Macaca fascicularis: one gene and its partners. The protein of the gene in region 1 purifies or fractionates together with the protein of each later gene. This does not show direct contact. Links are inferred from orthologs where the notes say so. Each region holds a gene or a part of one and is shown in the gene's direction. Other genes may lie near its edges.

Evidence for each region. Proteins that work in one complex are often made in the same cells at the same time.
Region 2: the proteins of EIF3B (region 1) and EIF4A1 purify together in Homo sapiens (affinity purification with mass spectrometry; 4 studies listed by BioGRID and IntAct, counting the BioPlex papers as one, with this or other methods). This does not show direct contact. The link is inferred for Macaca fascicularis from reciprocal best matches to the Homo sapiens genes EIF3B and EIF4A1.
Region 3: the proteins of EIF3B (region 1) and EIF3A purify together in Homo sapiens (co-immunoprecipitation; 15 studies listed by BioGRID and IntAct, with this or other methods). This does not show direct contact. The link is inferred for Macaca fascicularis from reciprocal best matches to the Homo sapiens genes EIF3B and EIF3A.

Annotation. Positions count from the first base shown.
Region 1 is NC_088377.1:35,837,706-35,846,468, forward strand, and holds the start of EIF3B (eukaryotic translation initiation factor 3 subunit B), read left to right. Parts: upstream 1-3,287; 5' UTR 3,288-3,355; coding exon 3,356-3,854; intron 3,855-8,763.
Region 2 is NC_088390.1:7,625,061-7,632,000, forward strand, and holds the end of EIF4A1 (eukaryotic initiation factor 4A-I), read left to right. Parts: intron 1-1,058; coding exon 1,059-1,227; intron 1,228-1,343; exon of another isoform or gene 1,344-1,486; intron 1,487-1,589; coding exon 1,590-1,699; intron 1,700-1,885; coding exon 1,886-2,029; intron 2,030-2,110; coding exon 2,111-2,248; intron 2,249-2,358; coding exon 2,359-2,448; intron 2,449-2,503; exon of another isoform or gene 2,504-2,643; intron 2,644-2,712; coding exon 2,713-2,792; intron 2,793-2,888; coding exon 2,889-3,033; 3' UTR 3,034-3,547; downstream 3,548-6,940. Other genes in the region: CD68 (macrosialin), read left to right, coding at 4,232-4,280, 4,361-4,878, 5,016-5,135, 5,259-5,331, 5,444-5,614, 5,928-6,061. UniProt on the Homo sapiens protein: ATP-dependent RNA helicase which is a subunit of the eIF4F complex involved in cap recognition and is required for mRNA binding to ribosome.
Region 3 is NC_088383.1:128,046,648-128,054,894, reverse strand, and holds part of EIF3A (eukaryotic translation initiation factor 3 subunit A), read left to right. Parts: intron 1-3,240; coding exon 3,241-3,329; intron 3,330-4,916; coding exon 4,917-5,725; intron 5,726-8,247. UniProt on the Homo sapiens protein: RNA-binding component of the eukaryotic translation initiation factor 3 (eIF-3) complex, which is required for several steps in the initiation of protein synthesis.

The DNA of each region.
Region 1 (8,763 bases):
GGGAGGCTGCAGTGGGTGGATCACCCGAGGTCAGGAGTTCGAGACCAGCCTGACCAACATGGTGAAACCCCATCTCTACTAAAAATACAAAAATTAGCCGGGCATGGTGGTGGGCGCCTGTAATCCCAGCTACTCGGTAGGCTGAGGCAGGAGAATCGCTTGAAGCCAGGTGGCGGAGGATGCAGTGGACCTGGGCACTAAGAGCGAAACTCCATCTCAAAAAAGAAAAAAAAAAGGCTAAGGAAGTCCATTCCCCAGCAAAGTGAAGAGTGCCTCCTTTGTGCAATGCATGCCTGCCATAGAAGAGTTTTCCTTGTCTAAGAAACATGCAGTTGCCAAGCCAAAATCATCTGTTGCCAAGCCAAAATCATCTGCTTTCAAGCTCTTTGGTTAGTATTTGCTTTTTGTTCATTGACTTGCTACCTTTCAGCATTTTCTAGAAGAAAAGGGTTGGCAGAGCCTGATGATCTAAGGGAAGCTGCAGAGGAAACTAGAAATTGGAAGGATAATTTGGTCGGGAGGTGAAACCAAGTTTTCCTTTGTGGAACTGTTCCACCAGCCACACACTAAAATGTGTCATCTGGCCACCTGGCTGGGTGTGGTGGCTCACGCCTGAAATCCCAGCACTTTGGGAGGCTGAAGTGGGAGGGTCACTTGAGCCCAGGAGTTCAAGACCAATCCAGGAACCATAGTGAGACTCCATCTCTGTTTAAAAAATTTGCTAGCCGGGCGCGGTGGCTCAAGCCTGTAATCCCAGCACTTTGGGAGGCCAAGATGGGTGGACCACGAGGTCAGGAGATCGAGACCATCCTGGCTAACACGGTGAAACTCCGTCTCTACTAAAAAAATACAAAAAACTAGCCAGGTGAGGTGGCGGGCGCCTGTAGTCCCAGCTACTCGGGAGGCTGAGGCAGGAGAATGGCGTGAACCTGGGAGGCGGAGCTTGCAGTGAGCTGAGATCCGGCCACTGCACTCCAGCCTGGGTGACAGAGCCAGACTCCTTCTCAAAAAAAAAAAAAAAAAGCAAAAAATTTGCTGGCCAGGCGCGGTGGCTCAAGCCTGTAATCCCAGCACTTTGGGAGGCCGAGGCGGGCGGATCACAAGGTCAGAAGATCAAGACCATCCTGGCTAACATGGGAAACTCCGTCTCTACTACAAATACAAAAAATTAGCTGGGGGTGGCGGCAGGCGCCTGTAGTCCCAGCAACTCAGGAGACTGAGGCAGGAGAATGGCATAAACCCGGGAGGCGGAGCTTGCAGTGAGCTGAGATCACGCTACTGCACTCCAGCCTGGGCGACAGAGCAAGACTCCATCTCAAAAAAAAAAAAAATTGTCATCCCTTATTGTACAGATGCGGAAACTGAGGCAGAGGCATTAAGTGACCTGCCCAAAGTTACACCGCTGACAGCACGATGAGGAGTCGTCAAACCTGGTACTAGGCATGGGAAGACTGCTTCTTTTTCGCTCTTTTGAACACCGTTAGGACGAGATGGGTGTGTGGTTCATGCCTGTAGTCCCAGCACTTTGGGAAGCTGAGGCAGGAGGACTGCTTGAGGCCAGGAGTTTGAGACCAGCCTGGGCAACATAGTGAGATGTTACCCACAAATAAAGAAATTAACTGGACGTGGTGGCACATACCTTCAGTCCCAAGTACTTGGGAATGTACTTAATGCCTCTGAACTGTATACTAAACTGCATATTAAAATGGCTAGGCCCTGTGGCGTGGTTCACACTTGTAATCCTGGCTCTTTGGGAGGCTGAGGTGGGAGGATTCTCTTGAGGCTGGGAGATCCGGATTGCAGTGGAGCTGTGATTATGCCACTGCACTCTAACCTGGGCGATAGAGTGAGATCCTGTCTCTGAAAACAAACAACTATATGATGAAATATACATACAAGTTACCTTTTTAGTATTTTATTTTTTCGAGACAGGGTCTCACTATGTTGCCCTGACTGGTCTTGAACTCCTAGGCTCAAGCGATCCTCCTGCCTTGGCCTCCCAAAGTACTGGGAAGACAGGTGTGAGCCACCGCGCGGGGTGTGGCCATTTTAATATGAAGTTTAGTATACAGCTCAGTGGCATCAGGTACATTCACCATGTTGTGCAACCATCACCACCGTCATCTCCAAAACGTTCTCATCCTCCCAAACTGAAGGTCCGTTCCCGATAAACACTCCCCACTCTCCTCCCCAGCCTCTGGGTACCACTTGTTTTACTTATTTATTTACTTATTTATTTATTTTTGGTATACATGAGGGTTGGCGGGGGTGGGGGTGCTATGTTGGCAAGGCTGGTCTCGAAATCCTTAGCTCAAGCGATCCCCCCCGCCTCAGCCTCCCAAAGTTTTGGGATAACTGGCGTGATCCACTGGGTTATTTTCTAGTGGTTGTCCTCCACTCCGGCAAAAAACAAAGAGAAGACACAAGCACCCAATACCCGTCCCGTGAACAGCAGCCCAGAGCCAACCGCTCCGGAGAGGCTCGCGCCCCACGCGGCGAGAACCCGCCCCCGCCCGCACGTGACCCGCGGTCTCCCGCGCGGAGGGCGGTGGCCTCGCGTGGACCGAAACACTGTGAACGCCCGAATGGGGGGAAACAGGCGGTGACGGCCGCTAGGGAAGGACTGGGGGTAAGCGATTAAAGCAACTCGCATACATTTTTGCATTGCGCCAGGGAGTCGTCTTTCTAGTCGTGCGGGCCGCCTCTGGCTCGCCCCGAATCCCTGTTCTCCTTTTTGGAGTAGTCTGTCCTTTTGCGCAGTCAGTAGGCGAGTCCAAGTGTCAGACACCGACAGGGGGGTCTTTAGTAACGTAAGCTAAACAGTTTGCCTAGCGAAAGGCTGAGACGCCCTGAGCAATCGCCTGTCGAGCCTCCACTCTTCCATGATAATAACTGTTGAGTTAGAGGACATTTTCAACCCATTCTGGATACTAAAATCATTTCTGGTCCCCGCCTCGGGCGCCACAAATAGTTCAGCCCCGCCTCGCAGCGTCCGACGGGAGAGGAAAGGGGAGGCCGCCATGTTGGACAGAACCATCCGCTGCCATACATGGGGTGGCCAATGCGCCCATGAATTTAGTGATGGACGGAAACAACCTTGTTGAATGGAATTGAGCACTTTCTTGTCACAAGAATGTCAGTTTGGTGATTTGCTGGACGCGGCTTGCGGATGCGAGTCCTCTCAGGGTCGTCGTGAGGCTCCAGGGCGTGGGTACACCCCCCGCCCCGCGGCCTTGGTACGGCCTCCCCGTCGCACGCACATGGCTGAGCTGTAGCCGGCGCGGCGCGCGGTGCGGCCTGGGAGAGTCGGAAGCGCGGCGGCCGCGGAGCCCTGCGAGTAGGTAGTGTCGGGCCCATGCAGGACGCAGAGAACGTGGCGGTGCCCGAGGCGGCCGAAGAGCGTGCCGAGCCCGGCCAGCAGCAACCGGCCGCCGAGCCGCCGCCAGACGAGGGGCTGCTGCGGCCCGCGGGGCCCGGCGCTCCGGAGGCGGCAGGGACAGAGGCCTCTAGTGAGGAGGTGGCGGTCGCGGAGGCCGGGCCGGAGCCGGAGGTGAGGACCGAGCCGGCCGCCGAGGCAGAGGCGGCCTCCGGCCCGTCCGAGTCGCTCTCGCCTCCGGCAGCCGAGGAACCTCCTGGGTCGCACGCTGAGCCCCCTGTCCCGGCACAGGGCGAGGCCCCGGGAGAGCGGGCTCGGGACGAGTGCGCCGACAGCCGGGCCCAGGCGGCGTCCGAGGACGCGGGAGGAAACGAGGGCAGCGCGGCCGAGGCCGAGCCCCGGGCGCTGGAGAACGGCGACGCGGACGAGCCCTCCTTCAGCGACCCCGAGGACTTCGTGGACGACGTGAGCGAGGAAGGTGAGGGCGCCCGGGGCAGGGCTGGCGAGCGGCGCGGGAGCGTGACTGGGGTTCCGGAGGTGGGAGATGTCGTCGGGCTGTGCCACTGGTTCGTGCAGAAGTTCCAGCGAGGGTGTCCGTGTGTTCCTGGAAAGCCACCGAGGGAGGGGTTCCCGAGTGCCCTAGAAACGTTCTGAGACCCCAGCGCCTCCCCTTTTCTTTCCTAAAAAAGGGGACAGGATGGAGCTAACTTCGTGAGCCAGGGATTTGCATGACAACCAGAAATCTGAGAGGGTGGGAGAGGGCACAGGGGTACTCTGTTCTGGCTGGGTGTGCTGTGAGTGTAGCAGCTGGGGTTACAGCAAAAACCGAAGACCCGGTGTCAGGTTTGCGGGTCTGCGTGTCCCAGCTGACCAGTCAGACCTCCCGAGGTCTGGATCGGAGGAACAGGTTGTCGCAGAGCCGGTGATTTTGTCCTCCTGCCCCGCACAATTGTCCATCTCCAGGAGACTTCCCTAGTGGTACAGGCAGACCCTGTCAAATTCCAGTTTGGTTCTCCTTTATCCCCTCTGCTAAACCTGTAAGACGAGTTATTTTTCCAGGTTTTAATATTGTTGATAACAGCCTGCTTTGCCTTCGTCTCAACCTTGATTGGATTTACAGGCATATTTCTGCTTCCGCCTCAGAGAGCTCTTTTCCTAAAGTGACTTCTGATGAGAGCTGGTCTCATTTGTTTTTCTTTTGTTTTTAGCTCTCTTAAGCCTTTAAGTTGAGAAACACATCAGCCTCTGCGGATTGGCTAAGTTAATACTGGAGTGAGAAAAATAAAAATACCCTTGCTGACGCAGCCAGATATACACCAAGACAATTTAGGGAATAACGTGGAGTTGCCAACTTATAATTGAAACGTATTTTTAAAAGGCTATCAGAAATACAAAAATCAGCCAGGTGTGGTGGTGCACACCTGTAGTCTCCGGTACTTGGGAGGCTGAGGCACGAGAATAGCCTGAACCCAGGAGTGGAGGTTGCAGTGAGCCAAGATCCCACTGCTGCACTCCAGCCTGGGTGACAGAGTGAGACCCTGTCTCAAAAAGTGAAAAATTAAAAAATAAAAAGGCTGTCAGTTACTGTGGCCATTATTATATTACACTTTTTTTTTTCATAGAAGACATTTTAGCAAGAAAAGCAGGAAGAACACCACAAACTAATGAAGACTTTGGGAACATCTAGTCTGCGCCCCTCAGTCCTGAGGAAATGTGTCCCTGAAGGTGGAGTAGGCTGCTGAGAATTCGCAGTGGGTTCGCTCTGCGTGGCTCACCAGACTCTCCTGCTCAGAACAGTGTTCTTTCTTTTTTTTTTTTTGAGACGGAGTCTCGCCCTGTCTCCCAGGAGTCTCACCCTGTCTCCTAGGCTGGAGTGCAGTGGCGCGATCTCGGCTCACTGCAAGCTCCGCCTCCTGGGTTCACGCCATTCTCCTGCCTCAGCCTCCCCAGTAGCTGGGACTACAGGCACCCGCCACCGCGCCCGGCTAATTTTTTGTGTTTTTAGTAGAGACGGGGTTTCACCGTGGTCTCGATCTCCTGACTTTGTGATCGGCCCACCTCGTCCTCCCAAAGTGCTGGGATTACAGGCGTGAGCCACCGCGCCCGGCAGAACAGTGTTCTTTCTAACACTTCAGTAGTTGTTATAGTTTAAAATCAAAATTTTTGGTTTAATGATTATTTTGAGCCCTTGGAAATTCTGCTATTTTTTTAAAAGTATTATTTGAGCCCATCGAATTCAGATTTCTAATGTGTAAATTATTTCTGGAATTGGGAAGAGTTAGTGGATGCTAATATGACCACAAGGTTGGCCAGGCTGGGTGATGACTGTGGGTCCTCAGGGGTCCCACGTGGCCCTGAAGGTGCAGTGTTGGCCAGAGTGACAGGTGAGGCATCTGGTCCTGAGGACTAAGGCTCAGCAAGCAGGCTTTGTCCTGGCCTGCCTGGTTGTGGTAACGCAGGTGGGTTGTGTGCGTTATGACAAGAGCTGCCCTTCAGGGTCAGTGTGCAAGATAGTATATGAGTGTGTCAGTTCTTTCCAAAAGGGCCGAGTCTTCCAGATAGTATATGAGTGTATCAGTTCTTTCCAAAAGGGCCGAGTCTTCCAGATAGTATAGTGTATCAGTTCTTTCCAAAAGGGCCGAGTCTTCCAGATAGTATATGAGTGTATCAGTTCTTTCCAAAAGGGCCGAGTCTTCCAAGGAGCAGACCAAAGGTGGCCTGGAGTCCCTGTCTTGCCTTCTTATTTTTTGGGTGCAGATTAGCATCTCAAACTGTAATCATCCTTTCAGTTTAATGTTTCAGCTGATCAGGATTTTAACTCTAAATGTCTTTTTTGCATTATTAACTATTCTTTTTGTTTGCTATTTAGTGTTGAGGATTGTTCTCTTCTTTTTTTTCCTGGAGACAGGTTGGGAATCTGTGAGCCACGTGTCACCGATGCTTGGGCCGAGAGTGATGAAGGCGATGTGTCTTCATGGTGTAGTTACTTCATTTGTTTCCTTCCTAGGTGTGGGCTGGTTCTCCTAGACTAGACGCTTTGAGCTTGTGGGAAGGAGTACGCAGTTTGTGTAAAAGCTAAGCTTTTTATTGCAAGCCTTATAAATTCAGATCAGGCTTGTCAGGCCATTTAATTGTATGGTAAGTGCTTTAGAAGGTATCCTGGGATTTGACTAGTTTCCACAGCAGGGTGTCCGGCACTGCAGTGACTGGCAACTGCCTTTTTCCCTTTTTTTTTTTTTTTTTTTTTTTTTTTTTTAACATCTCGTTCCTCTCAATTTTAGCATCTTTGAAAATAAAATGGAGATTATTTTTTAGGGTAGTATTTTCAATATTTCCTTTTTTTTTTTTTTTTGAGATGGAGTCTCACTCTGTTGCCCTGGCTGGGGTACAGTGGCTCACCGCAGCCTCTGCCTCCCCAGTTCAAGCGATTTTCCTGCGTCAACCTCCTGAACAGCTAGGATTATAGGCACCCATCACCACTCCTGGCTAATTTTTGTATTTTTAGTAGGGACGGGGTTTCACCATGTTGGCCAGGCTGGTCTCGAACTCCTGGCCTCAAGTGATTTGCCTTCCTCAGCTTCCCAAAGTGCTGGGATTAGAGGCGTGAGCCACCATGCCTGGTAAATTTTCAATATTTCTGAAAGGTTTTTTTTTTGTGTTTTTTTTTTTGAGACGGAGTCTTGCTCTGTCACCCAGGCTGGAGTGAGCCACCATGCCCGGCCAACTTTTGAGAATAAATAAAGCGAAGAATATTTTCTGACATCTGCATATTTAGTATGTTGAAATTACTATTATTTTGGCCGGGCGCGGTGGCTCAAGCCTGTAATCCCAGCACTTTGGGAGGCCGAGACGGGCGGATCACGAGGTCAGGAGATCGAGACCATCCTGGCTAACACGGTGAAACCCCGTCTCTACTAAAAAATACAAAAAACTAGCCGGGCGAGGTGGCGGGTGCCTGTAGTCCCAGCTACTCGGGAGGCTGAGGCAGGAGAATGGCGGGAACCCGGGAGGCGGAGCTTGCAGTGAGCTGAGATCCGGCCACTGCACTCCAGCCTGGGCGGCAGAGCAAGACTCCGTCTCAAAAAAAAAAAAAAAAAAAAAAAAAAAAAAAAAAAGAAATTACTATTATTTTTAGAGATGGAATCTCACTCTGTTGCCCAGGCTGGAGTGCGGTGGTGCAATCTTGGCTCACTGCAGCCTCCATCTCCTGAGTTCAAGCAATTCTCCTGCCTCAGCCTCTCAACTAGCTGGAATTACAGGCGCCCACCACCATGCTTGGATCTTTTTTTTTTGTTTTTTTTTTTGAGACGGAGTCTCACTCTGTCGCCCAGGCTGGAGTGCAGTGGCCGGATCTCAGCTCACTGCAAGCTCCGCCTCCCGGGTTTACGCCATTCTCCTGCCTCAGCCTCCCGAGTAGCTGGGACTACAGGCGCCGCCACCTCGCCCGCCTAGTTTTTTTTTGTGTTTTTTTAGTAGAGACAGAGTTTCACCGTGTTAGCCAGGATGGTCTCCATCTCCTGACCTCGTGATCCACCCGTCTCGGCCTCCCAAAGTGCTGGGATTACAGGCTTGAGCCACCACGCCCGGCCTTTTTTTTGTATTTTTATTAGGGACAGGGTTTCACCATGTTGGCCAGGCCGGTCTTGAACTCCTGGCCTCAGTAATCTGCCTGCCTTGGCCTCCCAAAATGCTGGGATTACAGGTGTGAGCCACTGAGCTTGGCCCTGTCCTGAATTCTGACTATGTGATGCTTTCCAAAAGCCCTGCGAGGCATTTCATCACATTGAGGACAGCTTCACGTACCACTAAGAAAAAAATACTGTTACTTAAACTCTGTGGGCATGGCAGCTCCCACCTGTAGTCCCTCCTACTTGGGAGGCTGAGGCAGGAGGGTTGCTAGAGCCCAGGAGTTCAAGGCTAGCCTGGGGAGCATAACAAGACCCTGTCTCTTAAAAAAAAAAAAAAAAAAAAAAAAAAAAGCTGTTTCAGGAACTTGTATATTCTCCAGTCTCCTAGTTTAAGTGCAGGTCTCTGCCCTGATAGTGTTTTTCTAAAAGGCTCTTTGTGATATAATAAGAAATGTGTATTTGGGCTCTGCCCTGGTTCTTGGCACACAACGTCTAAACACTTGGAATCTCCAAAGTGATAAGTGTCTTTTTGTAGACAAGTGAGATGATTGATGACTGGGGCTCCTTGCCAGGGAACCAACCACGTGATTAGAGGGCGGGAACTTTTAGGGCTCCCCCTGCCCCCCAGAAGGAAGAGGCTGAAAGTTGAGTTGATCACCGGTGCTCAGTGATGTCATTAACTATGCCCATGTAATGAGATCTTCCTAGACACCAAAAAGGACCAGGTTCCGGGGGCTCCACGTGTGGGAACAGGTGGAG
Region 2 (6,940 bases), on another chromosome or scaffold:
CTCTCAGTTTTCTCAGAGTGAACATGGCTCGTAGCTTTTGGTCCTCTGGTAGGAGTACAATAGGACATGGATATGCATCACCTGTTCTATAAAACTGGTTGCTGGCCGGGCGCGGTGGCTCACTTGTGTAATCCCAACACTTTGGGAGGCTGAGGCAGGCAGACCACTTGAGATCAGGAGTTGGAGACCAGCCTGGCCAACATAGTGAAACCCCATCTCTACTAGAAATATAAAAACTAGTTGGGCGTAGTGGCATGTGCCTGTTATCCCAGCTACTTGGGGGAGGCTCAGGCAGGAGAATTTAACCCAGGAGGCGGAGGCTGCAGTGAGCCGAGATTGTGCCATTGCACTCCAGCCTGGGCGATGAGCAAAGCTCTGTTTCAAAAAAAACAAAACAAAACTGGTTGCTGCATGACGAGGCAGTTGGTCAAATTAGCTTTCAGAAAGTTACGGGTTCTAAACATCTAGAGTAAGAAACTGAATTAATTATCTGAGCGGCCTTACTGTGAATCACTGTACACTCAGGAACCAGACTGAGTTGAAATCCTGTCTTTGCCACCTATTGACAGCACGATCTTAAGTGGATTTTAGCCTCTGCCTGTTTCTCAGCTGAATGTGAGTGTAATAATAGTGCATGCCCCAAAGTTGTTGGTTAGGAATAAATACATGAAAAACATTTAAGAATGGTGCCGGCCGGGCGCGGTGGCTCACGCCTGTAATCCCTGCACTTTGGGAGGCCGAGGCGGACGGATCACGAGGTCAGGAGATCGAGACCATCCTGGCTAACACGGTGAAACCCCGTCTCTACTAAAATACAAAAAATTAGCCGGGCGTGGTGGCGGGCGCCTGTAGTCCCAGCTACTCGGGAGGCTGAGGCAGGAGAATGGCGCGAACCTGGGAGGCGGAGCTTGCAGTGAGCCGAGATGGTGCCACTGCACTCCAGCCTGGGCGACAGAGTGAAGACTCCGCCTCAAAAAAAAAAAAAAAAAAAAAAAAAAGGAATGGTGCCTGGCACAGCTGTAGCTAATATGTGAGCACCTATCTTTCTCTGTGCTCAGATACAGAAGGTGGTCATGGCACTAGGAGACTACATGGGTGCCTCCTGTCATGCCTGTATTGGGGGCACCAACGTGCGTGCTGAGGTGCAGAAACTGCAGATGGAAGCCCCCCACATAATCGTGGGGACCCCTGGCCGAGTGTTTGATATGCTTAACCGGAGATACCTGTGTGAGTAATTCTGTTCTCCAACCCCTGGGTCACTTCGCTCTTGTGCATGCTTTCCAGTCTTTCAGTGTAAGCCAAAGTCATTCCCACAGATGCTGGTTTCCCTCTGGGGAAGAGCTGCTCTGTGATGGAGCCCATGCGTGTCATCTGAGCCTCTGGCTTCCCTGCCAGTGCAGCCCAGGCAGTGTCCTACTTCCCAGGGCTGTTTTCTGGCTTGGCGGGAACGTCCTGGGCAAAGGATCAGTCTTTGTACTCTGAGAGCAGACTACTCGGCCCCTCTCTGTTTTTTATCAACAAAGTTGGATACATCTCTCCTACATTTCCCTGATTATATGCTATATATTGGCTTTTTTTTCCTTCTCTAGCTCCCAAATACATCAAGATGTTTGTACTGGACGAAGCTGACGAAATGTTAAGCCGTGGATTCAAGGACCAGATCTATGACATATTCCAAAAGCTCAACAGCAACACCCAGGTGAGGGCGGCCTTGCTTGAATCGTTAATGATTCTGGAAGAAAAATATTAAGTGCCAGGGGAACCAAACTCTGGATTCTTGTCCTGAGCCTTTTTATGCATCCACTTCAGTTTTAGGTGTGGCTAGGGAAGGGAGCAGACCTTGGGAAGGATCCACTGCTCTAAGGCTGGCCTTTTTTTCCACTAGGTAGTTTTGCTGTCAGCTACAATGCCTTCTGATGTGCTTGAGGTGACCAAGAAGTTCATGAGGGACCCCATTCGGATTCTTGTCAAGAAGGAAGAGTTGACCCTGGAGGGTATCCGCCAATTCTACATCAACGTGGAACGAGAGGTGGGGCCCAGTGCAGGAGGCGGGCCTGGTAGTGAGTTGTTGGGTATAGCCCCTGACTGATTTTTGTCCCCTCACCTGCAGGAGTGGAAGCTGGACACACTATGTGACTTGTATGAAACGCTGACCATCACCCAGGCAGTCATCTTCATCAACACCCGGAGGAAGGTGGACTGGCTCACCGAGAAGATGCATGCTCGAGATTTCACTGTCTCTGCCATGGTGTGTTTGCCTGCTGCCAGCCCCTTGTGGGTCTGCCGATCAGAAGTGTCCTACTTTGAAGCCAGGGTTCCCGGAACCTATGTGCCTACCTGGTTTGTTTTCTCTTCTAGCATGGAGATATGGACCAAAAGGAACGAGACGTGATCATGAGGGAGTTTCGTTCTGGCTCTAGCAGAGTTTTGATTACCACTGACCTGCTGGTGAGTAGAGGGAATTGACAGGAAAGGCAGAAGGGAGGATCCAAGGTGATTCCTGATCCAAGGTGATTCCCTCTCCAAGGGGACATCCAGTGCCCCTCTCAGGAAAGTAGCAGCTTGGAATAGAATCTGGCATGCCTAAGGCCTTTGGGGAACAGGGATGCTTATTTCCTCCGCCTTCCTTGGCTGCCTACATGGATGCCTAAGTGTCTCTTCGGGATAGTGTTCTCTCATGCACATGCTGAAGAGTTGTCTTTCTTGATGTAGGCCAGAGGCATTGATGTGCAGCAGGTTTCTTTAGTCATCAACTATGACCTTCCCACCAACAGGGAAAACTATATCCACAGGTAAGAGTAGATCTGGAACACTCTTCCACCCCCTCACGCCTGGCCCTCCCTGGGCTAAAGTTCCTGATGTTCCTCATCCCTTTCCTTGTTTTCCAGAATCGGTCGAGGTGGACGGTTTGGCCGTAAAGGTGTGGCTATTAACATGGTGACAGAAGAAGACAAGAGGACTCTTCGAGACATCGAGACCTTCTATAACACCTCCATTGAGGAAATGCCCCTCAATGTTGCCGACCTCATCTGAGGGGTTGTCCTGCCACCCAGCCCCAGCCAGGGCTCAATCTTGGGGGGCTGAGGAGCAGCAGGAGGGGGGAGGGAAGGGAGCCAAGGGATGGACATCTTGTCATTTTTTTTCTTTGAATAAATGTCACTTTTTGAGGCAAAAAAAGAAGGAACCGTGAACATTTTAGACACCCTTTTCTTTGGGGTAGGCTCTTGCCCCAGGCGCCGGCTCTTCTCCCAAAAAAACACTAATCCATTTCCCTAACCTAGTAACCTCCAGATCCCAGAGGCTCTCCTCACCTCAGCTGAGCTCCTTTGAAAGTGATTCAGGGGACTACGTCACTCAGCCTCATTTGCTGGACCAAATCTGGAGGGAGAACCCCTAAAACCCCTGAGTGAGGTTGCCCAGGGGGTTGTCCCCAGGTGGGGGGAAGCAGGGGAGAGAAAATGGTAGCCATTTTTACATTGTTTTGTATAGTATTTATTGATTCAGGAAACAAACACAAAATTCTGAATAAAATGACTTGGAAACTGCCTGTTTGGGCTTCTCATTTCTTAACTCCCCTTCCCTCTCCCACCTGCTACTGGGTGCATCTCTGCTCCCCCCTTCGCCAGCAGATAGTTACCTTTGGGCTGTGTTGCTTTCTTGTCACCATCTAAGAGTTCCCAGACACTGGAAAGCCATGTTCTCGGCTCTGAGAACGGTGATGCTGACTGGTAGTGCTGCCCCTCTGTAAAAGGCTGGGTGTGGATGATCACAAGCCCCTCACGTGCCTCAGCCAAGAGGAAGTACAGGGGTCAGCCCCGAGGTCCAGGGGAAAGGGGAGTGGAGACACTGATTTCCCTACCACTGAGGGAGGGGCCTGGGTCTCAGCTGTTCCCATAGCCACCTGCCACAACTGCCAAGCAAGTTTTGCTGAGTTTCACACATGGATCCCTATGGATCAACTGCCCTAGGACTCCCTTTCATGTACCCATGTGACCCTGTTGACTTTGCCCTGATGAAGCAGGGGCCAACAGTGCCCTACCTTAATTACAAAAACTAATGACTAAGAGAGAGATGGCTAGAGCTGAGGCCCCTGAGTCAGGCTGTGGGTGGGATCATCTCCAGTACAGGAAGTGAGACTTTCATTTCCTCCTTTCCAAGAGAGGGCTGAGGGAGTAGAGCTGAGCAACTGGTGCAGACAGCCTCGCTGGACTCGGGGTGAGGTAGTTCAGCCATGAGGCTGGCTGTGCTTTTCTTGGGGGCCCTGCTGGGGCTACTCGCAGGTAAGGAGGAGGCTGAGGGGAAGGGGCCCCTGGGAGGGAGCCTGCCCCTGGGTGGCTAACCATCTCCTCTCTGCCAAAAGCCCAGGGGACAGGGAATGACTGTCCTCACAAAAAATCGGCCACTCTGCTGCCATCCTTCACGGTGACACCCACGGCTACGGAGAGCACTGGAACAACCAGCCACAGGACTACCAAGAGCCACAAAACCACCACTCACAGGACAACCACCACAGGCACCACCAGCCACAGACCCACAACTGCCACGCACAACCCCACCACCACCAGCCACAGAAACGCCACGGTTCATCCAACAAGCAACAGCACTGCCACCAGCCAGGGACCCTCAACTGCCACTCACAGGCCTGCCACCACTAGTCATGGAAATGCCACAGTTCATCCAACAAGCAACAGCACTGCCACCAGCCCAGGACTCACCAGTTCTGCCCACCCAGGACCACCTCCGCCCTCTCCGAGTCCTAGCCCGGCCTCCAAGGAGACCATTGGAGACTACATGTGGACCAATGGTTCCCAGCCCTGTGTCCACCTCCAAGCCCAGATTCAGATTCGAGTCATGTACACAACCCAGGGTGGAGGAGAGGTAAAGCTAAAAATGGGTACGAGAGGGGAGGGAGGCAGGACTGGCTATAGGCTCAGAGGGAAGAAGGAAGACAGGACGGGGAATATTGGCTGGCATCGCATGCAATCTTGTGACCTTCTGATCTTTAACTTCCGCAGGCCTGGGGCATCTCTGTACTGAACCCCAACAAAACCAAGGTCCAGGGGAGCTGTGAGGGTGCCCATCCCCACCTGCTTCTCTCATTCCCCTATGGACACCTCAGCTTTGGATTCATGCAGGTATAGCCATGACCTCAGTCTCACCCCTCACTCAGCCTCCCGGCGCCCCACCCCTCCCAATCCTGCACCCTACCCCTTCCTCTGTGAAGAGGGATGCCACCTGCTTTCCTGTTTGCCCCACAGGACCTCCAGCAGAGGGTTGTCTACCTGAGCTACATGGCGGTGGAGTACAATGTGTCTTTCCCCCACGCAGCACGTAAGTAACCTCCCTCCCTTTCTCATTGCTACCACTAGACACCAGGGTTCCTGAAAGGACTAAGCTGGGGCCAGGGAGGTGGACAGGATCTAACCCTTCCTCACTCCTCCAGAGTGGACATTCTCGGCTCAGAATGCATCCCTTCGAGATCTCCAAGCACCCCTGGGCCAGAGCTTCAGTTGCAGCAACTCGAGCATCATTCTTTCACCAGCTGTCCACCTCGACCTGCTCTCCCTGAGGCTCCAGGCTGCTCAGCTGCCCCACACAGGGGTCTTTGGGCAAAGTAAGACCTACCTACTCCTTCCCTCCTAGAATCCTCCCACTACACTGAAAACCCCTTCCCCAGGCCCATAAGCCACTCATCTCTCTTCTTAACCCCCCAAATCTCCTCCCTCTCCCAGCTTGTCATGGCTATAGGGCAGCTGTCCTCCCATCCTCTACAAGATTCTGCCAGTTTCCCCCTTTGGTCACTGCTGAGTCACTGCAGTGAGCTCCTCACCAATCTCCTACTCCCTAGCATCCCCCCATTCCCTCCTCCCACCTTCATCCCAACCACCATGTCACTGTAATACCTACCTGCCCTATCCTTCCGCCAGGTTTCTCCTGCCCCAGTGACCGGTCCATCTTGCTGCCTCTCATCATCGGCCTGGTTCTTCTTGGCCTCCTTGCCCTGGTGCTTATTGCCTTCTGCATCGTCCGGAGACGCCCATCCGCCTACCAGGCCCTCTGAGCATTTGCTTCAAACCCCAGGGCACTGAGGGGGTTGGGGTGTGGTGGGGGGGGGGTCCCTTATTTCCTTGACATGCAACTGTCTCAAAGACAAAGTTATTTTCCTTCCCTTTCTTGAAGAACTAAAATAGAGCCAGGCGCGATGGCTCATGCCTGTAATCCCAGCACTTTGGGAGGCTGAGGCAGGCAGATCACTGGAGGTCAGGAGTTTAAAGACCAGCCTGGCCAACATGGTAAAACCCCATCTCTACTAAAAATACAAAAAATTAGCCGGGTGTGGTGGCATAATCCCAGCTGGCCTGTAATCCCAACTCCTTGGGAGGCTGAGGCAGAATTGCCTGAACCCAGGAGGTGGAGGTTGCAGTGAGCCGACATCGTGCCACTGAGCCAAGATCGCACCACTGCACTCCAGACTGGACGACAGAGCCAGACTGTCTCAAATAAATAAATAAGAGATAATGCAGTTGGGAGGAGGGAGGGGACAGAGTTTTATTAAATGTGACGAACTGTCCCCCCAAGAGGAGAGTAGCAAAATATATGCGTATGTTTGACTTGGGGTTTTCCTTGTCCTGCCAGGATTAAAAGCCATGAGTTTCTTGTCACATGCCTTTCTGTGCTTTCCATGGCTGGGTCTCAGCGAGCCGGAAGCAGCTGCTGAGGAGGGATGAAAATGTCAATGTGTGACGATGCCTCATGGGTTTACCCCCCAAAGCCTGGCACAGCTGGTGTTGGATCTGCCGTGCCTCCCTTCCTTCCTCCTCTTGGGGCCACTGGCTGCTCCAGTACCCCATCGCTGGCAAGCCGGTAGAGCCATTCGCCCCTGCAGCCTTCCTCCTGACCCTCCTACAGTTTCAGATGCAGCAGACAGACAAAGCCAGGA
Region 3 (8,247 bases), on another chromosome or scaffold:
CACCCACCTCAACCTCCCAAAGTGCTGCGATTACAGGCGTGAGCCACTCTGCCCAGCCACCATTAATTTTTTCCTAAGTTTTTAAAAAAACTTCCAAAGTATAAAATACAACTTTCCTTTGCCTTTCAGAACAAGACAAAATCATGAGCATACCTTGACTTATATTTTATTGCAGTGAACTGGGTATTTTTGTTTCTAGATCATTACATATTATCTTTCCTCTTAGTATTCACTTAAAATTTTATATCCATATTAGCAAACATTATTTAGTCTCAGGTATGTTTACACTGCATCATGTTTTCCCTTTGTGAGTACTTTTTGATTCTTAATCAGTTGTTTTCAGAATGTCTTTGCGTATGCCTCAAGTTTTTTCTCTCACGGTTGAACAATGGATGGTTCATTATTTGGCCAGTTCAAAATCATCTTTTCAGAAATAATAGAGATCTTTGCTTCTCTTTGTAGTACACAGTGTTACAGTGGGGAAGATTTTTGATACTAGTTTTCGTCTTATTCTGTAGATACTCTTTCATTCCTTGGGAACGTAATTTTTCTCCGTACTTGCAGTAAAGGAAGTTAAAACTGTCGCTAAACTGTGTTTAGACACCTGAGTGTTTGGTCATCTTTGTTTCTTTTTGGTCTTTTGGCCTTTTGGTCTAAGGATTCAGTTTCCTTAGAGCAGACAAAAATCTCCTAATTTAAGGAAACTTTTCTCCTTTTTCTCTGTTCTTGCTCTTTCAAAGTCCTCTTTATATCTTTAATGTTTCTTTTACTCTCTTCATCTGTTGTTTGTACCAGGTTCTCTGAGATCCTGGTTCAATTTGTTTGCTCATCAGCTGGGACCATTCTGCTCTTGGATCTGCTGGGCCGGGCACATTGGTTCACGCCTATAATCTCAGCACTTTGGGAGACCAAGGCAGGTGGGCGGATCACTTGAGCTTGGGAGTTCGAGACCAGTCTGGCAACATAGTGAGACCCTGTCTCCACAAAAAATACAAAAATGAGCTGGCCATGGTGGTGCATGCCCAACTGCTTGGGAGACTGAGGTGGAAGTATGGCTTGAGCCCAGGAGGCAGAGTTATTTCTTTTTGCTTGTTTAATGGCTATAACAGCCATCCTTCAAAAGTCTTTGGCGGTTGTAATAGTTGTACTATACCTCTAAAATCTTGCTTTCTTTGTTGAGTATAAATTGGCAAGGCAGGCATCGGGGGTGGGAGAAACTTGGCCTTCTGGCTGTGTTTGTTCCCTCGATTATGGTGCCCATAAATTCCTTTGACTGTTACGTTTCTATTTGTCTCTCAAAGTGTTTACTTGGGAAAGTCTCTTAGAACAACCCCCACCTTGAGAGACAGCCCAGAATCATTAGCTGTGATGACCTGGGACTAACTTTTTTTCTGGCCATTCTTGTCTTTCACTGCTTCTCATCTCTAGTTGTTATTTTAGACTTTCATTGCCAAGACATTTTTTCAAAAATTCAAATAGAGGGGCAGACGTGGTGGCTCACACCTATAATCTCAGCACTTTGGGAAGCCCAGGCAGGTGGATGAGTTGAGGTCAGGAGTTCGAGACCAGCATGGCCAACATGTTGAAATTCCACCTCTACTAAAAACACAAAAATTAGCTGGGCATGGTGGCAGGCGCTTGTAGTCCTAGCTACCTGGCAGGCTATGGCTCAAGAATCGCTTGAACGTGGGAGGCAGAGGCTGCAGTTAGCTGAGATCATGCCACTGCACTCCAAACCTGGGCAACGGAGTGAGATTCCATCTCAAAAAAAAAAAAAAAAATCAAATAAAGGTTCTTTTATTCACAAATTGTTAGAGGCTGTAGCTTATTCTTAGCTTTGTAGTGTTTTTTTTTTTTTTTTTTTGAGACAGAGCTTCACGCTCTGGTGCAGGCTGGAGTACAGTGGTGCGATGTTGGGTAACTGCAAGTTTTGCCTCCCGGGTTCAAGCAGTTTTCCTGCCTCGCTTCCCAAGTAGCTGGGATTACAGGCGCCCGCCACCATGCCCAGCTAATTATTTTATATTTCTAGTAGAGATAGGGTTTCACCATGTTGGCCAGGCTGGTCTCGAACTCCTGGCCTCAAATGATCCACGCACCCCAGCCTCCTAAAGTGCTGGGATTATAGGCGTGAGCTACCGCTCCTGGCCAGCTTTTAAATATTTATTTTAGTCTTCCCACCCTATCATCAGATCTCTTAAAATATCTTCCAGAGTTCTCACTTGTCTGATAATGGCTTTAGGTTACATTTGTATGACCAGCCACAATATATCAGAGGATATTTATGATTAAAATTGTGCATGCATCGTCCCCTGCAAAGGCTGTACCAGATTTACTTTTCACAGTTCTTAATGTCATCAGGGTACTTTTTTGTTGTTGTTGTTCGTTTGTTTTGTGTTTTTTTTTTGAGATGGAGTCTCTGTTGCCCAGGCTGGAGTGCAGTGGCGCGATCTTGGCTCACTGCAAGCTCCCCCTCTCGGGTTCATGCCATTCTCCTGCCTCAGCGTCCCGAGTAGCTGGGGCTACAGGCGCCTGCCACCACGCCCGGCTCATTTTTTATATTTTTTTAGTAGAGATGGGGTTTCACCGTATTAGCCAGGATGGTCTCAATCTCCTGACCTTGCGATCCGCCCGCCTTGGCCTCCCAAAGTGCTGGGATTACAGGCGTGAGCCACTGCGCCTGGCCCATGCCCGGCTGATGTTTTGTATTTTTAGTAGAGATAGGGTTTCACCGTGTTAGCCAGGATGGTCTTGATCTCCTTACCTCGTGATCCACCTGCCTCGGCCTCCCAAAGTGCTGGGATTACAGGTGTGAGCCCCTGCATCTGACCCATCAGAGTACTTTGAATAGAGAAGTACTTTTAATTTAACCACCGTCATTAGACATTAAATAAAATGTCTCCACCTTTCTTTGCTTAGTAGGCACTGTGATGTCCATTTCAGGGTACGGGGCTTTTTTCACATTCTTCAAAGGGGATTTCTAGTTGAAGGAAATCTGTAGAGGTGTGTGTTCCCAGGTTGCTTTCCAGCGGTGTTTGTAAGGTCACCCACAATATATGAGACTACTAGTTTCCCTGTAGCATCAGTCTGATCTCAGATTAAAAAATAAATAAAATTTTAAAACTTGCTTATTTAAGGGCTTCATATTGTTATAAGTACAAAAAATATTTGAATGGTAATACCAGTAGTTGTAATAGTAAATAGTTACCAATATAATGCCTCTTTTTCACTTTGTCAATGGAGGACTCTCGTTGGGGAGATAGAGATTCAGAAGGCACCTGGAGAAAAGGACCTGAAGCAGATTCTGAGTGGAGAAGAGGCCCGCCAGAGAAGTAAGTAGAGTTGAGGAAAATAATGCTGCTCCAGTTCCTCAGTTCCTGTTAATATCTTTTTTCTTTTCTTTTCTTTTTGAAACGGAGTCTCGCTCTGTTGCCCAGGCTGGAGTGCAGTGGTACAGTCTCGGCTCACTGCAAGCTGTGCCTCCCGGGTTCACCATTCTCCCGCCTCAGCCTCCTGAATAGCTGGGACTGTAGGTGCCTGCCACCACGCCCAGCTAATTTTTTGTATTTTTAGTAGAGACGGGGTTTCATCATGTTAGCAAGGATGGCCTCGATCTCCTGACCTTGTGATCCGCCTGCCTCGGCCTCCCAGGGTGCTGGGATTACAGGCATGGGCCACCGTGCCCCGCCTCTTGTTAATATTTTATTGGTGATTTTAAAATTTGGTTCATTTTGTAGAGGCAGGGAAAGGAGAGCCATGAAGAATTGTGTGCATGTCTGATTGTGTGTGGGTTTGGTTTTTGTTTTTTTGGGTCTGCTGCCCGGGCTGGGGTGCAGTGGCACGATCTCGGCTCCCTGCATCCTCTGCCTCCTGTGTTCAAGTGCCTCAGCCTCTCGAATAGCTGGGATTACAGGTGTGTGCCACCATACCTGGCTACTTTTTGTATTTTTTAGTAGAGATGGGGTTTTGCCATGTTGCCCAAGCTGGCTTTGACCTCGACCTCAAGTGATCTGCCTGTCTTAGCCTCCCAGATTGCTGGGATTACAGGCTTGAGCCACTGCACTTGGCTTGTTTCTTTCTTTTTTTTTTTGTTGTTGTTGTTTTGAGATGGTGTCTCACTCTGGAGTGCATTGGCGCAATCTCGGCTCACTACAGCCTCAACCTCCCTGGGCTTAGGTGATCGATCCTCCTGCCTCAGCCTCCTGAGTAGCTGGGACCACAGGTGCGCTCCACCATGCCTGGTTAATTTTGTTTGTTTCTTTGTTTTTGAGACAGAATCTTGCTCTGTCACCCAGGCTGGACTGCAGTAGCGGGATCTTGGCTCACTGCCTTTGCCTCCTGGGTTCAAGCAATTCTTGTGCCTCCCAAGTAGCTGGGATTACAGACATGCACCACCACACCTGGCTAATTTTTGCATTTTTAGTAGACCCGAGGTTTCACCATGTTGGCTAGGCTGGTCTTGAACTCCTGACCTCAAGTAATCTGCCTGCCTTGGCCTCCCAAAGTGCTGGGATTATAGATAGGCGTGAGCCACCACGGCTGGTCAGTTTTTATTTTTTTATAGGGATGGGGTTTTGCCATGTTGCCCAGGCTAGTCTCATGCTCCCGGGCTCAAGCAATCCTCCCGCCTTGGCCTTCCAAAGTGCTGGGATTACAGGTGGGAGCGACTGCGCCAAGCCACTTGTCTTACAATTAAGTAGAGATGGGGTTTTGCCATGTTGGCCAGGCTGGTCTTGAACTCCTGACCTCAGGTGATCTGCCTGCCTCTGCCTCCCAAAGTCCTGGGATTAAAGGCGTGAGCCACTGCACCCGGCCCATACTGAAGTTTTAAAAAAGCACGTCAAAAAAAAAAAAAAATCCCCAAAGGATCGTGTGCTTTTTTATTTTATGTATTTTTAATTGTTCTTGTTGCTGTGTAGGGAGTGGAGACGTGGAGAAGGGCGAGATGAGGACAGGTCTCATAGAAGAGATGAAGAGCGGCCCCGGCGTCTGGGGGATGATGAAGATAGAGAGTCCTCTCTTAGACCAGATGATGATCGGGTTCCCCGGCGTGGCATGGATGATGACAGAGGCCCTAGACGTGGTCCTGAGGAAGATCGGTTCTCTCGCCGTGGGGCAGACGATGACCGGCCTTCTTGGCGTAACACAGATGATGACAGGCCTCCCAGACGAATTGCTGATGAAGACAGGGGAAGCTGGCGTCACGCAGATGATGACAGACCACCTAGACGAGGACTGGATGAGGACAGAGGAAGCTGGCGAACAGCAGATGAGGACAGAGGACCAAGACGTGGGATGGATGACGACCGGGGGCCGAGGCGAGGCGGCGCTGATGAAGAGCGATCATCCTGGCGTAATGCTGACGACGACCGGGGTCCCAGGCGAGGGCTGGATGACGACCGGGGTCCCAGGCGAGGGCTGGATGACGACCGGGGTCCCAGGCGAGGGCTGGATGACGACCGGGGTCCCAGGCGAGGGCTGGATGACGACCGGGGTCCCAGGCGAGGCATGGATGATGACCGGGGTCCCAGGCGAGGGTTGGATGATGATCGAGGACCTTGGAGAAATGCCGATGAAGATAGAATTCCCAGGCGTGGTGCAGAGGATGACAGGGGCCCTTGGAGAAACATGGATGATGATCGGCTTTCAAGACGTGCTGATGATGATCGCTTTCCCAGACGGGGTGATGACTCAAGGCCTGGTCCTTGGAGACCATTAGTCAAGCCAGGTAAAAGTCTATTTCCTAGAATATGCTTAAGTGTTCACCTGTCAAAGTGAAGTTCTGATAGATAAATGTCAGGGCTATATTGTTATTTTCCAGATAAACTGGTCTTTTATCTTCAGTATCATTTGCAGTGACTTACCTGTCAAAAGTTTGCCTTCAGAATACTACCATCCAAAACATAAATAACCCAACCCCTCTTTCTTCTTTTGTGATGTGCTCTTTATTTTCCTTCTGCTTCGTTGACTGCTTCTTTCAAGGCTCTTCCTGTACTCATCCCTTCAGTATTGGTGTGTTTTTCAGGTTTTACTGGGAACTAGCCTCCTTTTAAAAATAAATAATTGAAACCAAAATGTACTTTATATATTTATTTCTGCCAAATGAGAGATATGCACGGAGGAACTCACTTTACTTTTTTTGAGACAGGGTCTTGCTCTGTTGCACAGGTTGGTGTGCAGTGGTGCAATCATGGCTCATTGCAACCTTGACCTCCCTGACTCTAGGGAGCCTCCCGCCTCAGCCTTCTGAGTGGCTAGGACTACAGGCGCATGCCACCACACCCTGCTAATATTTTATTTTTTTTGGAGAGACAGGGTTTTGCCATGTTGCCCAGGCTGGTCTCAAACTCCTGGGCTCAATTATCCTTTTGCCTCTCCCTCGCAAAGTGAAGTGCTAGGATTACAGGTGTGAGGCACTGCGCCCAGCCTCGTTTTCTTTCTTAGTCCTGGGCCTGCTTGTTGTTTAACACTTTATTATTTGTGAGCAGTTGTATACATGTCTGTGACACACATCTATTACCATTTTCTTTCTTTCTTTCTTTTTTTTTTTTTTTTGAGATGTCTTCCAGACTGGACTGCAGTTGTGCGATCTCAGCTCACTGCAACCTCTGCCTCCTGGGTTCAAGCAATTCTCCTGCTTCAGCTTCCCAAGTAGCTGGGACTACAGACACATGCCACCATACATGGCTAATTTTTTTTTTTTTTTTTTGAGATGGAGTCTCACTCTGTCACCCAGGCTGGAGTGCAGTGGCGTGATCTCGGCTCACTGCAAGGTCCGCCTCCCAGGTTCATGCTATTTTCCTGCCTCAGCCTCCTGAGTAGCTGGGATTACAGGCACCCGTCACCACGCCTGGCTAATTTTTTGTATTTTTAGTAGAGACGGGGTTTCACCTTGGTAGCCAGGTTGCTCTTGAACTCCTGACCTCAAGTGATCCACCCATCTTGGCCTCCCAAAGTGCTGGGATTACAGCGTGAGCCACTGCCCCGGCCAATTTTCTCTAGGTAATTTCTGCGTACTGCACACAGGTGACAGCTGCTTACTGCATATAGCGCATTTCCACTTGGTAGTCTTACTGAATGTCAAACACAGCCTATCCAAAACTGGACTCATCACCATCACATACAGAGGTTGTAGTGATCTGAGATCACGCCACTGCACTCCCATCCTGGGAGACAGAGTGAGACCCCGCCTCAAAAAAAGAAAAACAAATGCTGTTTAGTGGCCCCAAGCACACGGTGGCTAAGGAGAAAATACATGTATTTAGATAAGCTTTGTTCATGAATGAGTTACAATGCTGTTGACCATGAATTCATGAACACCCATCCCTCTGATTCTCTTCAGGGGCATCACTGTCCATCTAACTGTCTGAGCTACGAATCTGGGAGTTGTTTTGTCTCTTTCATCTTTTGTGTTAAATGTTTGTTTAGTTCAGTTTGGCCTTTTTGATGTTCCTGAAATCCACCTTCTTCTCCATTCCCATTGCTTGTACTTGGTCCTGGCTCAGCATCGTTTTCCTCACCCCCTAACTGGTTTTTGCTTCCTCTCTTACTCCCAGTTTTAATTTTGGGTGTGGGGGAAATAACTAGAGCAGTTGTTCTAAGTGCAGATCTAAGTGAGCTGCTTCCTTGCTTTCCCCAGTTGTTTCTGTTGCCTACTTCATCTCTTTTAGTCTCACTCCATTCCACTGTTCAGCTGTTACCTTGTGTAAGCCATTTAATTTTTCTTTGCCTCATGTTAAATGGGGTAACAGTGTAGCAGATTCTTACTGATTTGCTAATTATATTTTATAAAGTTGCCATGAATACTGAACTCCTGTTCCTAGGGGAAATACAAGGTTAGGTTCTTGTGAGCTTGTAGTCATGATATTTTTGTCAACTAGTCAATACATAAAATGTCTTTTATGTGTTTGTGTTTAAAGACCCGTATTTCTGATATGTTGTTGACTCATTACCATTGAATTCATGGTCAACAGCATTGTAACTCATTCATGAACAAAGCTTATCTAATACATGTATTTTGTCCTTAGCCACCTTGTGCTTGGGGCCACTAAACAGCATTTGTTTTTTCTTTTTTTGAGGCGGGGTCTCACTCTGTCTCCCAGGCTGGAGTGCAGTGGTGTGATCTGAGATCACCGCAACCTCTGCCTCCTGGGCTCAAGAGATCCTACCACATCAGCTTCCTGAGTAGCTGACTATAGGTGCACACCACCAAGCCCAGCTAATTTTTGTATTTTTTGTAGAGATGTGGTT